Linked DNA regions of Mus musculus. The protein of the gene in region 1 interacts with the protein of each later gene in a pairwise test. Links are inferred from orthologs where the notes say so. Each region holds a gene or a part of one and is shown on either strand. Other genes may lie near its edges.

What was found.
Region 2: the proteins of Homer3 (region 1) and Eaf1 interact in binary tests that used the Homo sapiens proteins (3 or more experiments, as listed by UniProt). The two-hybrid records come from large-scale screens. The link is inferred for Mus musculus from reciprocal best matches to the Homo sapiens genes HOMER3 and EAF1.
Region 3: the proteins of Homer3 (region 1) and Eif3d interact in binary tests that used the Homo sapiens proteins (3 or more experiments, as listed by UniProt). The two-hybrid records come from large-scale screens. The link is inferred for Mus musculus from reciprocal best matches to the Homo sapiens genes HOMER3 and EIF3D.
Region 4: the proteins of Homer3 (region 1) and Fryl interact in binary tests that used the Homo sapiens proteins (3 or more experiments, as listed by UniProt). The two-hybrid records come from large-scale screens. The link is inferred for Mus musculus from reciprocal best matches to the Homo sapiens genes HOMER3 and FRYL.

Annotation. Positions count from the first base shown.
Region 1 is NC_000074.6:70,281,829-70,285,798, forward strand, and holds the start of Homer3 (homer protein homolog 3), read left to right. Parts: upstream 1-1,170; 5' UTR 1,171-1,183; coding exon of another isoform or gene 1,184-1,272; exon of another isoform or gene 1,273-1,696; intron 1,697-3,405; coding exon of another isoform or gene 3,406-3,473; coding exon 3,474-3,487; intron 3,488-3,565; coding exon 3,566-3,722; intron 3,723-3,970. UniProt on the Homo sapiens protein: Postsynaptic density scaffolding protein. Binds and cross-links cytoplasmic regions of GRM1, GRM5, ITPR1, DNM3, RYR1, RYR2, SHANK1 and SHANK3.
Region 2 is NC_000080.6:31,498,079-31,501,578, reverse strand, and holds part of Eaf1 (ELL-associated factor 1), read right to left. Parts: intron 1,460-3,500; coding exon 1,323-1,459; intron 1-1,322. UniProt on the Homo sapiens protein: Acts as a transcriptional transactivator of ELL and ELL2 elongation activities.
Region 3 is NC_000081.6:77,964,325-77,967,824, reverse strand, and holds part of Eif3d (eukaryotic translation initiation factor 3 subunit D), read left to right. Parts: intron 1-385; coding exon 386-522; intron 523-1,057; coding exon 1,058-1,143; intron 1,144-1,614; coding exon 1,615-1,687; intron 1,688-2,809; coding exon 2,810-2,922; intron 2,923-3,500. UniProt on the Homo sapiens protein: mRNA cap-binding component of the eukaryotic translation initiation factor 3 (eIF-3) complex, a complex required for several steps in the initiation of protein synthesis of a specialized repertoire of mRNAs.
Region 4 is NC_000071.6:73,096,119-73,099,618, forward strand, and holds part of Fryl (protein furry homolog-like), read right to left. Parts: intron 2,310-3,500; coding exon 2,041-2,309; intron 1,452-2,040; coding exon 1,256-1,451; intron 281-1,255; coding exon 156-280; intron 1-155. UniProt on the Homo sapiens protein: Plays a key role in maintaining the integrity of polarized cell extensions during morphogenesis, regulates the actin cytoskeleton and plays a key role in patterning sensory neuron dendritic fields by promoting avoidance between homologous dendrites as well as by limiting dendritic branching.

The sequences.
Region 1 (3,970 bases):
CTCTGATTCGGACACAGCCATTTGTCCCCAGAACACGGAAACCCTTGCAGAAATTTCTAGAAAAGTGCAGCAAGGGATTTGCCACAGGGCTAGGGACCCACTGGCAGATAGGTGATCCCCTGAAGGATCCTCGGCGGGCTGCTGTGGCTGTGGACAGAGGCAGGACTCAGCCTACAGAGCTGCAGGGAGTTTGTCCATTTCATTGGAAGACAACACTAAGAGGACACTTGGATCCTAAGACTCTGTAACAATAACCTAGTTACTCCCAGAATTTATTTTTGAAAGTCAGGGTCTCACTATGTGGCCCTAGATGGCTTAGAACTCACTATATAGACCAATCTAGCCTAGAATTCACAGAGATTTGCCTGCTTGTTCTTTTCGTGGGAATTAGGATGGAGCCCAGGGCACCACAGACGCTTGACGAGGGCGTTACACACTGATTTGCAGTCCCACCCCCACCTTCGTTTTGGGGAGCTGGGCTCAAGCTGTCTTCATGCTTCAGTTGCTGAGGGTCCAGGAACTTTTTCTTTTCGAAGAAGCCACATGAAGACTCAGGGCCACCCTTGGTAGGAGGCAGGAAAGCGAAGGGTCGTTGTCCACCCATTTTCCGTGTTTCTCCCTATCTCTGGGTCACCAGATCACACTCCAGGACTTCTGCCTCTGTCTTCACACCCTGGCCCGCTACCACCCATCTAACACCCACACTTTTGTCTTCTCAGCCTTCAGCCCATCAGTCCAATGCTCTGCCCCAAGGCCGATCCAGACAGACCCTCCTCTTCCACCCCTCTCCCCACCCCGCTGTCTTTGTCCGCAGTCACCTTCTGTCTCTCTCCGCTGCCCTCCTGGATCCCTCCCCTCTGTCCAGTACTCTGCCTGATCCTAGGCCCCTGCCCTTAATCCCTCTGATCCCAGCCCCAGACTTTATGGGCCCCTCCCCCTCCTTCAAAAGCCACGCCCTCCCCACTTCCTTCAGTTGCCTCCCACTGGGTCCCCCCTTCAGAAGTTCCTCCTCTTGACCTCCTGGTGCCCTCCCCTTCCTCTGCCCTTTCACCCCGCCCAACTCCCCCCTCCATGTCCGCCCTCCTCTTCTTCCCTCTCGGGGTCCCCTCCCTCTTCCCCGCCCTCCGTAGCTGGCCAGCAGGGGGCGCTGGGCAGAGGCGGGGCGGCGCGGGGACTGGCCGCGATGGGACCGGAGGCGGCGCAGACAAAGGCGCGGGCGGCGCGGGGCGCGCGGAGGGCGCGGGCCGGAGGCTGCAGCGACGACGACGCGGGGTGAGCCAGACAGGGGGACCCCAGCTTCCGAGGCACAATCAGGGAGTCGGGGGCGCAGGAAACGCAGACGGTTTCCAAAGTTGCGGACTGTGAGGCGGGGCCCAGGAGCTGCGGGGTGCAGGCTGAGGGGTTGGGATCCTGGGGTGCCGGCTAGGGGGCCGGCTCAGGTGCTGGCTGGGGCGCGGGGCGCGTCTTCACCGGGTTCCTCAGCCGAGGTCCGGGTGTTGGGGACGCCGCATCGCGAGGCTCCGCCACTTAGAAGTTGCGGGTCAGCGGCTCCCGTAGTTGCCCTCACGAGCTGCCCTGGAGGGAGTGGGAACCGGTGCCAAATGGGAAGCCGGCGTGGGGCTCCTGGCAGGGTCCCCGCCGCGCGCGATCGCGGTTCTCCGCCCCGCGCCTCTGCTCCAAGGCGCGTGACTACTCAGTGAGTAACTTTTCCTGATGGTGGCAAGTCCAGGCAGGAGTGGTCCGACCGGAAGGGCCTGGGTTCGGGGACCCCTTTCCCCCAATCTCCGCCAGTTCCATTAGCGTCTCTGACTGGACAACCCCCCTACCCTCCCTCTGTATGGGAACTTAGGTTTCGCAGCTTCCCAAGACAGCTTGGAGGGGCCCTGACCTCAGACCCCGGGTCTTGACCTCCCGCACCCGCAGGACCCTCCTTCTCCTCCAATCTCCTTAGTTGAAATTTGGGGGACTTAGGAGAATGACAGGTGCAAGCGTTCATAGGAGGCTGGGGAGCTCCGTTCTCCCGGTCCTGTTCCCTGTTCACATGGTGGGGACTAGGATGAACCGCTGTGTGCAATGCGTGCTTGTGTGTGTGTGTGTGCCTGTGCGTTGAGACATGGTCCCACTCTGTAGCCCAGGTTGGCTTCAAAGTCTCCTCATTCTCCCCAGTGCTGGTGCCACCATACCAGGCTTTCATTTTTTCCTTTTAAGTAAGCTCCCTGGAGACTCAGACACAGAGTTATCTGGGCTAAGTGGTCCTTTCTCTCTCTCTCCTCTCTCTCTCTCTCTCTCTCTCTCTCTCTCTCTCTCTCTCTCTCTCTCTCTCTCTCTCTCTCTCTCTCTCTCTCTCTCTCTCTCTCCTCTCTCTCTCTCTCCCTCCCTCCCTCCCTCCCTCCCTCCCTTCCTTCCTAGAGTTATTTATTTTATTTATACAAGTACACTGTAGCTGTCTTCAGACACATCAGAACAGGGCATCCAATCCCATTACAGATGGCTATGAGCCACTATGTGGTTGCTGGGAATTGAACTCAGGACCTCTGGAAGAGCAGTCAGTGCTCTTACCCACTGAACCATCTCTTCAGCCCCGAAGTGGTCCATTTGTGGGATCAGCGAGGTCCTGATTTTCCTGTTAGGTCCCTGGAAGCACTCCACTTTTACTCCTTGAGATGGGTTTATCCCTCCATGATGACCAGGGAGGCCTTGAACTCCTGGGATGCATGATCTAACCGCCTTGGCTTTCAGATAGATAAAACCACAGGGCCTCACCACGGATCCAGCTTTGTCCCACATTTTGATGCAAGGCCCTCTGGGAGGAGAGGGGGGCTGTTGGATGGGAGGGGATGAATGAGATGTTCCACTCGGTTGATCTTGACCTCATGTTCAGTTCCTGTGGGAGGACACTTGCCCAGTGGTGGGTAACCTGGACAGTGAGTATAATCCTGCGTGCCAACAACCAGGCTATTCTCCAAGCCATATCCTACCTACCCTTGCAGTTTGGTGGCACTGTATCACCTCTCTGGTGACACTAGAGATCTAGAGATCACTCAGTCCAGTTGTGGGGGCTTCTCCCAAAAGCAGGGCCTTTTGTTTATGCCTACAGCTCAGTTGATAGAGAGCTTGCATGGGATGCAGGATGCTCTGGGCTCCATCCTCAGCACCACATGAACCAAGAATGATGGCACAAGCTGCCGTCCCAGCATTTAGGAGGTGGAGGCCAGAGGATCAAGAGTTCAAGGTTGCTGTTGGCTGCAAAGTGATTTCAAGGCCAGTCTGGGCTGGGACTGAGGAAGTGGGTGTCTGACCAGCAGCTGCTCCTTTCCTGCCTCGCTGGTTTTGTGAAGTCACCTGGAGGACCCACTTGGCCTGAGTATCCTTGGAGCCTTACTCACAATCTTCTTCTTTCCCTAGGGGACAAACAAGTGACTCCTGTCACCCCTCTGGGTGCCCCTTAGAGGCCATCCAGCCCAACCTGACCAATGTCCACAGCCAGGTGAGCACTCACCCACTCTGGTCTGGCCTTGCCCCTGGGTGGCATCAGACTCCTGCAGAGTTTCTGTCCCTGCTGTAGGGAACAGCCAATCTTCAGCACCCGGGCGCACGTATTCCAGATCGACCCCACTACAAAGCGGAACTGGATCCCCGCCGGCAAGCACGCACTTACCGTGTCCTATTTCTATGATGCAACCCGAAATGTGTACCGCATCATCAGCATCGGGGGTGCCAAGGTCTGAGCAGGGGTTTGGGGGCAGGTGTGCAGCCACCAGCCAGGCTGGGTGACTTGGGAATCAACGATCCTTTCCCAGACCTAACGTCTTCCAGAAATAACTCAGTGGTGGGGTCTCCGAGAAGGGACAAGAGTTCTACTGCAGCCCTTCACTGGGGGATTCTAGGCAGGGGCTCCACCTGTATGCCTTCCGATAGCTCCTCACTGGGGGATCCTAGGTAGGGATTAGCTACTAAGACAGATGCCTAG
Region 2 (3,500 bases), on another chromosome or scaffold:
CAACTTCTGTAACCCCCAGTCTCCAAAAGAATAGCACTTTTCTACGACTACTGGAAAAGATTAGGTGTGTTACACCTAAAACATACTGGCCCACGATAATCTCAATAAATGGGGGCTGTTTCCTTTTCTAGAGAAATGAGGGAAAGAAAAACAGAAACAGACATCAAGCTGCAATAGTCTCTTAAAATCTAATTAGTGTTCTGTGAGAAGGAGGGGGAGGGGAGGACTGAGAGGAGAGGAGGGAGGGGAACTGTGACTGGGATGTAAAAAAAAAATATACACACACACACACACACACATATATATATATATTTTAATGAAGAAAACCCCCTCTCTTTAGTGGACTTGTGATTTTGCTCAGTGGTGAGGGCACTCGCCTATCATGTGCAAAGCTCTCTCTCTGCATTTGATGCCTAGTGCCCTCCCCGACAAAAACCTTAATCATTATCTTACAATAATTATTGTATTCCAGTTATAGAATATATTGACTTTCAAATAAACTCTAATATTGAATGAACCCAAAAGTTCACTATTTTAAAAGTAGGAAAGGTTTTTTTTTGGTTATTGTTTTTAAGTTTTTAAAATTATAGTTGTATTTATGCTAGGTCTTCTACCACGTGAGTCCTGAAGACTGAACTCAAGTCATTAGACTTGGTGGCAAACGCCTTTATTCACTTAGCAATCTTGCAAGACCACTGTTATTTGTTTTTGTTTTGACACAGGGTCTCCTGCAATTCAGACCAGCTTCAAAGTCACTCTGCAGCTGTAGAGGGCCTTGAACTCTTGATCCTGGTGCGCCAACTCTCCAGTACTGCACTTACAGTAGGACCCACCATACATAGTAGACGACGTTTCATTTTGATAGTATAGGCACATCAAATATATCCTAATTTACAAGCAGTAATTTAATAAGGTCATGCAATTATTATTTTGTATTTTTCAGTCTATACATATAAACTGAATCCCCTACTTGATAGTATAAGAGCAGTTATGAGTCTGACAAAATTGGCTCAATTATAAATACCCTGTTCTCCCCAAAGGCTTCATGTTTTAGCTTTCAAAAGCATTATTTCTTTTTACTGTATTTGAAAAAAATGTACATTTTATTATTGATGTATCTGAGACAGGAGTGGCTAATATTACTGATTGAACACTAATGAGCAAGGAGATGTTCACACTCTTATAAAACTGGACTGAATGCCATAAAGATTTCGAAACACTTAAGGCTATTCTTTAGGAGAACGGGCACCTGCCAGCACAGGAGACCCCGGTTTCAATCCCTACAGTACAAGAGGAAGGGAGAACGCGGAGGTTGGCCATACCTTGTCTTCTTGACCTGAATGCTGCTGCTCAGCTTCTCCAGCACATACTCTCCAGTGTCGTGGTTAATAATGAGCACACAGTCTTTCTGATAGGGCCGCTTGTTCCCTTTGAACACCGTCATTGGCGGCGTGGACCCCTGTTTGCCACAAAAGTATAAGATAAATACACCAATTACGAACGGTCCCCTAATCCATCATCAGACCTGCGCAGAAGGGGCAGATGACTGATCTCTGTCTGACTCCCCCAGCTTTCCAGGCAAAAGAAAGGAGCAGTTATAGTAAGCACCTGGTTTTAGGGATTCAAGAAATAGAACATAAAAACTTTAAGCTACTAGGCAACTCTTTACTAATGTGGGCAAATAGTTCAAAGAACAGCAATGCCCAAACTGAGGACAATTCACCTTGCCCTACACTACACAGAGCTATTACTAACTGGTTAGAGGAGGGAGTGATCTTTGTATTTCTTTGTAATGGAAGAGCCCAGGGCTTCCCCTTCATGCAAATAACCCAGGCAGCTTTCTCCAAGGGTGGCCAGCCCTTCAGCTGAGTGAGTGGAGCCCATGTTACTTAGCCATCACCCCAAGCCTTTCAATGGCTCCCATGCTGCTCGCAAGGCAAAGGATAATGAATTTAAGGCAGGGCCTGACCCCACCACCCATCTCTGGGCTCTGAGGTCTTTAGGAAGTAAGAGGCTCTTTTTCCTGCTTCAGGGCTGAAACTGGCCTTCTGCCTGCTATATTTTGACACTATGTAAATTACTCGATCTTCTGTTAAGTTCAAATAACTCTTCTCTGGTTTTCCACAAGTGTTTATTTTGGTTTGGTTTTGAAACAGGGTCTCACGTAGCCCATGCTAGCCTTATACTCTCAACCACCTTGCTTCCACCTCTCAAAGGCTAGGATTACAGGAAAGCATCGTATCCAGCAGCTACTATATATTCCTATATTTAAATTCCAGACCCTAAGCTGCACAACATCAGGAAATGTACTCATTTGGTTTAAAGTTAATTCTTAGAGCCCACTAATGGGCTCCTACACTGGACACTGATTTAATATTTGTTAAATATAAGATTTAACTTGTTGTTCAGAATTTATAGAAGCACAAAACAAAACAACAGCAAACTAAATTGCTTGGCTCTTCAGCCCCTTAACTGCACAGTAGAAACTTAAGTCTGAAGGGTGCATAGGGACCATGTACCTAACCCCTTCATTTTTCACTTGGGAAACTCAGGTCCAATGGGAGATGATGTAATCTTCCATGGGCAACATGTAATGAAACAGGAGTTCAGATGAAAAGGCTGTTCCCTCTGCTCCAGGGCTTCCAGGTTTGCTGCAGTCTGCACTCTGTCACCAGTTACAGAACTTGCTGTGTCTGAGGACAGAGCCGTGACACGTACTAAGGAGCTTTTCTAGTCTAACTGTTTTCTGTTTATTTCTTCTGTGTGTGTGTGCATGTACACGTGTTTTCTCGTGTTTTCTGTGTGTGGGCAGAAATAGGTACAGGTGCATGTGTGTATCTACATGCACCTAAAAGCCCAAAGCTGACATCAGGCTCCCTCCTCAATCACTCTCCACTTTTCTTTTTTGAGGCAGGTTCTTTTGCTCAATCCAACTAAGTCTAGCTAGACAGCTTGCCCAGGGGATACCATGTCCTTATCTGTGACTGTGGGCTCACAGCAGCTGCCATGTCTGCCATGGTTTTTACATGGGTTCTGAGGCACCCAAACTCCAGTCCTCCTGCTTGAGTACTTCATTTCCTCAAGCCATCTCCCCAGCCCAAGGTGTCGTGAACGCAAACACAGGTCTCCCTTCTGTTTTCCTTTGGCTGAACTGGGAATTGACCCTAAGACCTCATGCGTGCAAGGCAAGACCTCTATCACTGAGCTACCACCCCAGACTCACAGTGCTGCCCTGAAGAGAGCCTTACAGTACAAAGTCTTTTCTTCCAAGTCTTTGGTGCAGCTTTTAACTGAGTTCTTCACCCCTAAATTAGCTGAGTGTTCCAAACTTTGGTTCCTGCCTAGGACCATCAGCCTGCACCGGATCCCTTACTAAATATAGAGATGTCACTCTGGCTCCTGGCCTGCCTTCTGGCTGTTCTATGTTCAGGAGCTGCTATTGCTATGCAGGGCACATAGGGCCCTTTTCTCCAGAACTGCTTGGGATAAGTGTTATATAT
Region 3 (3,500 bases), on another chromosome or scaffold:
CCAAAAGAGGCTGTCGGGGTGGAAGGCTGTGTCCGCAGCTCTGGGTGATGGCTGGGGTGGTGGTACAGCTCAGATTCTTACATGACCACGCAGAGGTACAGCGGGGTAGTGGCATCCTTGGGCTCTTGGTAAGTTGTTTAGACCCAAGCTCTTAAACCTTAAATGTGAGTGTGAATCATGAATCACCTGAGAGCATGTTTAAATACAGGTTCCCATCTGTCAGGTCTGGGCAGGGGCGGTGAGTCTACCCATCTCACAAGCTTCTGGCCAGTGCTTCAGGTCAGGAGCACACTTAGGCGAGTGGGGTCGAAGCCTGGCATGCACCATGAGCACGACACTCACTGTGTAGGTAGCACTTAGCACACACTGTCACCTTTGCCTGCAGACAAGTATTCCTCTCAGTTCGGTGGGGGAAGTCAGTATGCATATTTCCATGAGGAGGATGAGACAAGCTTCCAGCTGGTGGACACGGCACGGACACAGAAGACCGCCTACCAGCGGAACCGGATGAGATTCGCACAGGTAGGCCACGGCTGGCAGCCCACACTCAGCTCTCACTGAGAGCAGAAGTTCCTGCTGCTCAGCCGCCATCTTGGGAATACTGATGAGAAAGGAAAGGCTTACAGACCTTTGGCCAATCCCAAGTGGCAGTTTAGTGACCAGTTGTGTCAGAATAATGTGAAACGGGTCTAGGAATACATTGAAGGAGTTTAGATTTTTGTTCACAGTAGTTCAGACATCACACAGCTGTGCTGGGAACCCAGTGCCTTGCTGACTTGTCATGTACAACCTTTGTTAATTACATGGTTTGGTAGGGTGCCTCCTGCTACATAATGTTGCAAACTTTGCAACTCCAATAAAACTAGTAAACCCACATTAAAGTGGGAATGACAGTCCAAGCTAACACAAGTGCTACTCCCCTTAGCCCAAATTCTGTAGTCGCTGTAGAGTAAAAGTAAAGAGATGTGAAACTTAGAACTCACGCCGTAAACTTACTCTCAAGATACCATGAGCCTTGTCTCCGAGGGGCTAACATGGGTCTCTTCCTGCTCCCCAGCGCAACCTCCGCAGAGACAAAGATCGGAGGAACATGGTGCAGTTCAACCTACAGACCCTGCCCAAGAGTGCCAAGCAGAAAGAGAGGTGAGCGTCCCTTCCTGCCAAGTCAGAGTTATGTTCCCAAATGGGCTGTACTCAAAATCACAGAGCAGGGCAGGGACTGGCTATCTTTCACTCTTGAAAAAGAAAGCAAAACCTCCTCACCTATTGCTGCCCAAGACTGGGCAATGGCAGACAGACAGGAGGTGGGTGAGGCGGACATTTGAAGTGGCTCTGTGGCCTCTACATTCTGGATGCCTGGTTTCAGGCAGCACCACTTATGCTATATCCTGTGGGCCCTTGGGGCTGGGCACAGCAGCCACTGCACCCTAGCCAGGGCTGCCATGGGAGTAACTGGGCTGAATGCTGGTTGATACTAGTAGTGCGCCTCTGCTCGAATCCCCAGTGTGTTCTACATCTAAGCCCCTATTTTCTATCCTGGTAGCAGCTAGGAAGGATGATGCGATTCAGCTAGAAGCCGACACTGAAATCACAGCATTTTGTCTGTCTTTTCAGAGAACGAATTCGCTTGCAGAAAAAATTCCAGAAGCAATTTGGAGTGAGGCAAAAATGGGACCAGAAGTCACAGGTAGTGTCCCTCTAGGGACTCTGTGGGGACTTGGAGGGGTTTGTTTTCTTTGACCTTGAGAGATGTCTCGGGACTCCCCTGATGCCCGCGGGCATTTCATGTACAATAGGATCATACTCTGTGCCCTTTAGTTAGTGTGCCACTTTTAAGATCATATCGCAGCCCGTGTTAGCACAGTCTTTTCACTTTTCCTTCATGTCTGTTAAGGATTGGTTCCAGGTACCCTCAGAGATCAAGATTTGTGTGCACTGACCTTCTCTGCATGTATCTCATGTGTGTCCCCTCGTGGACTTTAGCTTGCCTCTGGATTATATATTTGGGTTGAAAGTATCATTTTAACTCTCGGGTGATCCTCCTCTGTCAGCCACCCAGTAGGTGGGATTTCCAGTATGCTGAGCATCCAAGAATTTTCAGTTTACATGTGACTGGTTATAGACCTGCTGGTATAAAGCTCACAAACATGGAGTCTTTTTGCCCAAGAGTGGTTTTTTTGTATGGGTTGCCACATTTCCTTCAGCCATTCATCTTTCCACTTTGGCACTGTTAGGTATAACACTGCCATCTTTGTGGGAGCTGTGAGCATAACAGACATGACCAGAAGTGGAGTTTGGGCTAGGAGTGTTGCCAACAGCAAAGCAGCTGCTTTTCGGGCACAGAATCGCGGCTTCACTGCCGAGTGTTGTAGGGTGATAAAGTCGTGAAGGTGCAGGTTGACTTAGCTGCTTGCTGTATCGGGCGTGTGCTTGACACCCTGAGAAGCCCCATGCTGAGGCCCTGCTTCCTTCTCTGAGCTGCCAGGAGTCACGGGCCCTGCTTAAAAACAGCCAGGACCAGACTAATGAGATGACTCAGCTTTTTAGAGCACTGGCTGCTCTTCCAGAGGTCCTGAGTTCAATTCCCAACACCCAGGTGGTGGCTCATGCCCATCTATAAAGGGATCTGACGCCCTCATCTGGCCTGCAGGTGTACATGCAGCAGAGAACCCAGAGATCAAATAAATACAATGAACTTAAAAAAAAAAAACATCCGGGACCATAATGATTGAATGAAAGCCCTTCCCATGTCACTCTGTCTTTTGCTATTTGCGTAGGATATGAAGATCTTCCTGTGTTTCCTCTGCAGAAACCCCGAGACTCCTCAGTTGAAGTTCGCAGTGACTGGGAGGTGAAGGAGGAGATGGACTTCCCTCAGCTGATGAAGATGCGCTACTTGGAAGTGTCAGAGCCTCAAGACATGTGAGTAGCTTCTTCCCTGGTGCCCACCCTGTTTCAGAGTCTGTCTGCCTGCCAGGGATCAGTGTCTCCTTAAGTCCTAGCAACTCCAAAGCAGATTTGAAGCCACTTACAGTGCTATGGACTGGTGGGTATGTTTTTGAAAGATCAAGACCCACTTTAAAAAATGCATTGTTTACTAAAAAAGTCCCAGTTTCTTTCCACTTTTGGCATCCGAGAAAAAGCCCAGTAGTTCAGTCACTAAGCTCCTGCAGCAGGAGAGGCGTGACAGTTGTTCAGGAGACTCCATTTTGTGTAGCATCGTACACTAGAGGGCAAGGACATAGAGCTAAGTCAGTGGAGAGCCAGAGCTTCAACCCAGAAGTCGATCTATCTGGGTGCCTCTATAATGGGCTCAGTTTCCCAGGGAAGGTTCACTGTGTAAGGTCTTTCCCTGTGTTCTACAGAGGAACATTGGGAGCTGCGAAGACAGGAAACTAAACTAACACTAAAGATTTGTCTCATTTTCAGAGGGATTAATGCTGTCTCTTTCATATATACTGAACTTCTGGGTGAAGTTTATTTTCTGAGATGGACCCTCC
Region 4 (3,500 bases), on another chromosome or scaffold:
GAAAGAGATGGCTCAAATGTACTGACTTGCCATCTGCATGGCAAAGTGGAGAAGTCAGGGCTGGAAGGAAACTTAGCCTCTATTCCATCCTGCTCCGCCTCGCTTATGGGCACACTTTTTATTCTATCACAGAGAGAACGTAAGAAGAAAGTTACCTAAAGACTCCCGGGTTGGTCCTGCCGAGGCCTAGAACGAGGGACTCTGTGATCTCCATGCTCTCAGAGCGCATCATTGGAACTATGTGCTTAAACAGGGAAGAAGGGGACGGGATGCCAACGATCTGAGGGAAAAAATCAGAATGGCATTAACAATTACATAGCCAGCGAAATAACCTGACATTTCAACAACCTGTGGTCAAAGACAATGAATAGATGACATTTTTTGTGGCAAACAAGAATGCTGAATCAAACTTAGTTTTCAGTGTACGGAACCTAGAAAAGCTAAATGGCTTGCTTGTTGGCTTACTTCAAGTTCATTCACAGAACTTGTGTGTGGGTCTCTGTACTTCTTAGAGGAAGACCCAGCACCACATAACAGTCCATGGACCCAGCCAGAGGTTTCCTGTCTTTAGAGCCACAAACACAGAAAGACAAAATCCGGACACTCAGTTTCCTTCAACCATGCCATGATGCCTCGCTTCCTACCATGAAGTCTATTTAATGGTTCGTCTCCGATAGCCACTGTGTTCTTGTGTCATTTAGGCAAGTTCTGTAAGAGCATCTAAGTACTTAGATCATGTTTTCTGGAACAAGGTATGGACATTCACTCCTGTAATCCCAGGACTGGGGCGGCTAAGACAGGAAGACTGCTGGAAGTCTGAGGCTAGCTCAGGTCGCACAGTTAAGTTCTCAGCCAGCCTGGGTTATAGGTGAAACTTGTCTCATAAAACTAACAAATGAATGAATGAGCAAATCAATGAACTAATAAATGAATGAATGACTCCTGTTGGCAATGGGAAGTGTAATGGCTTGGGAGGCAGAGTAAGAAGAAACATGCCTTATGACTTCCTTTAAAACATTCAGTATGCTATTTCTATGAATGTGATCCCTTTAGCCAAGGGAAAAACCTCTTATTCTTGATTCTAACTAGGAATCTACAAAAATAAAAATAGAATTTCTTGAAGTACTTTCCCCCCCACCCAGTGAAAATGAAAGATGAATTCTTCAAGCTCTTTATGATGTTTTCCATGAGAAGAAACTTAAGACATCCCTCTGGTGGAATCCCTGGGATTCCACAGAGGATGAGAAAGGCCCACCTTGGAATCGATGCTGTAGCCACTGTCAGGGGTGGACGCCAGCGTCTCGGGAGGAGAGCATCTCACGGAGCCTGCGGGTGCTGATGGGGACGGGGAGGTGGCTGCGCTGCAGCAGAGGACCAGGTAGTTTCTCCACAGGCCAATGTACGAGTCGCTGCTCGTGGTGGCATTTACTTTCTTAGCATTGATGGGGCTACTGGAAAAAAAAAAGAAAAGAAGTAGAAATCGCACACGTCTTCCTTAAGTAATAATTTTATTTGAAAATTTCACAACTCAATGCACCTTGTTTATATTTACCCATCATTGCCTCCGTCCGTCTACCACACTGTTGCCCTCCCAACTTTGTCTTCCTCTTTTCCCGTTATTAATAAACCCATCCCCCAGGTCCAGTTACCACTGCTCACATGTGAGCACTGACTGGAGCACCTACCAGTAGTCATGCCCTCAACCGAGTGACTCTCTCTCTTCAGCAACTATCAAGTGCACACACATTTAGAAAGTTTTTATGTACCAATTTAAAAGGACATTGCTATTATAAAGTTTTATTGCAAGTACTCAGTCTCTGTGGAAGGACCAGAGAGAGACATGAATAAAGTATTCGAGGCCTATCATGTGGGACAGAATGGGTAGGACAGAGAGCTCTATGAGTTTATAGCCTTCACGCCTTTTCCATGCTCCATATTATAACACAACTCAGAGAATTTCCAGTGTGTGCCACTTTTCAAAAGCACACATCATGAAAGCTGACTACCCATTGTGAAATGTGCTTTATTCAAAGCACTTACTTTATATCCACCTGGGGGGACAAGAGCTGCAGCCTGGTGTATGCGAACATCCACGCATAGCTCACGGCTGTAGAGCAGTGTTTGGGAAGGTTTTCTTGCTTTAGGAAACTGGAGAGACTTATAATCCATGGGTCTTGGCCTTGGGTCACATGTGCAAATATCCAAATGTGTGAGGGGCTGATCACATCAAACTGGTGGCTGATGGGAGAAGAGTTCCAATCTGCTAATGTCTGCAGATCTACAGAGCTAGGGCAATACAGCAAAGTAGTCTAGAGAGAGAAAGAGAGAGCGCACAAATGATTATCACGCATCTGAGTAACTTTCAAAGGTTGTCTAAAAGAGGTGCTTTATTTGGGAAGTGGACTATTGGTGCTTTCTGGAATAGAAGACATGGAATGTGGCTGAAGCTAGGTTTAAGGAAGGAATGCGTCTCTGACATTTCCACCGGGTTATCCTCAAGAGAGATATGTTGTAGCTTTCACTATTCTCAAAAGGCTGTATGGACCAAGAAGGGTAAGATCCACAGCTTACGTGATTCCCGTGTGAATACCCAACTTTCCTGAGTCCACGGAACTCTTCAGAAATAGAACAAAACCCATTAACTTTTGTCCCAACGAAATGGCGCATTCTATAATGTGAGCTGTCGCCAGAGGTGCGCATCATTAAATATTTGTTCCTTAACATTCAGATTCTTAAAGAAATTAAGATCCATCTTTTTTACATTTCATTCATTAAGCACTCTTTAAGGCATTATTAAGCCACTTATTGCTGAGCAGTGGTGTTGCACCCCTTTAATCCCAGCACTTGGGAGGCGGAGGCAGGTGATTTCTGAGTTCGAGGCCAGCCTGGTCTACAAAGTGAGTTCCAGGACAGCCAGGGCTACACAGAGGAAATTCTGTCTCAAAAAAACCAAACCAAACCAAAAATAAGCCACTTATTATTCTATTTGTTACCATAATACATAGATAGTGACCTAAACCACGATTCTTTTAACTGTGTGCATTTTAAATCATGTATTAGGCTTATAAAACTTTATTATTATCTGCTTTATGTTGTGTAGAACAAATGAGTTATAAGAACCAGGTGTTGGGCAGAAATAAATAACTCTTTCATCCACATAATCCAAAATGGGAGAATTAACCATCCAAGCCGTGACTGTCACCGTTGGTCCCGTTCCAACCTCGGACTCCTGACTCCCCTCCCCTTCCCACCCACACTCCATAAAACTAAAAGAAGTTTGCATGCCTTACGCTGGATATGTCCCTGGATTCTATTCCAAACCGAGGAGATAGAAAGGATAGAAGAAGACGGAGAGGAGAAATAAAGAAATTTATACCATCATTTTTTTTTTTTGTAATGTGTTTGCTGACAAAATGTTTCTCTACGTGTTATCATACTATTTAACTTCAAAAAGCAAATGAAAATATTCACTGAATAAAGCAAAGAAATCCAAGATTTCC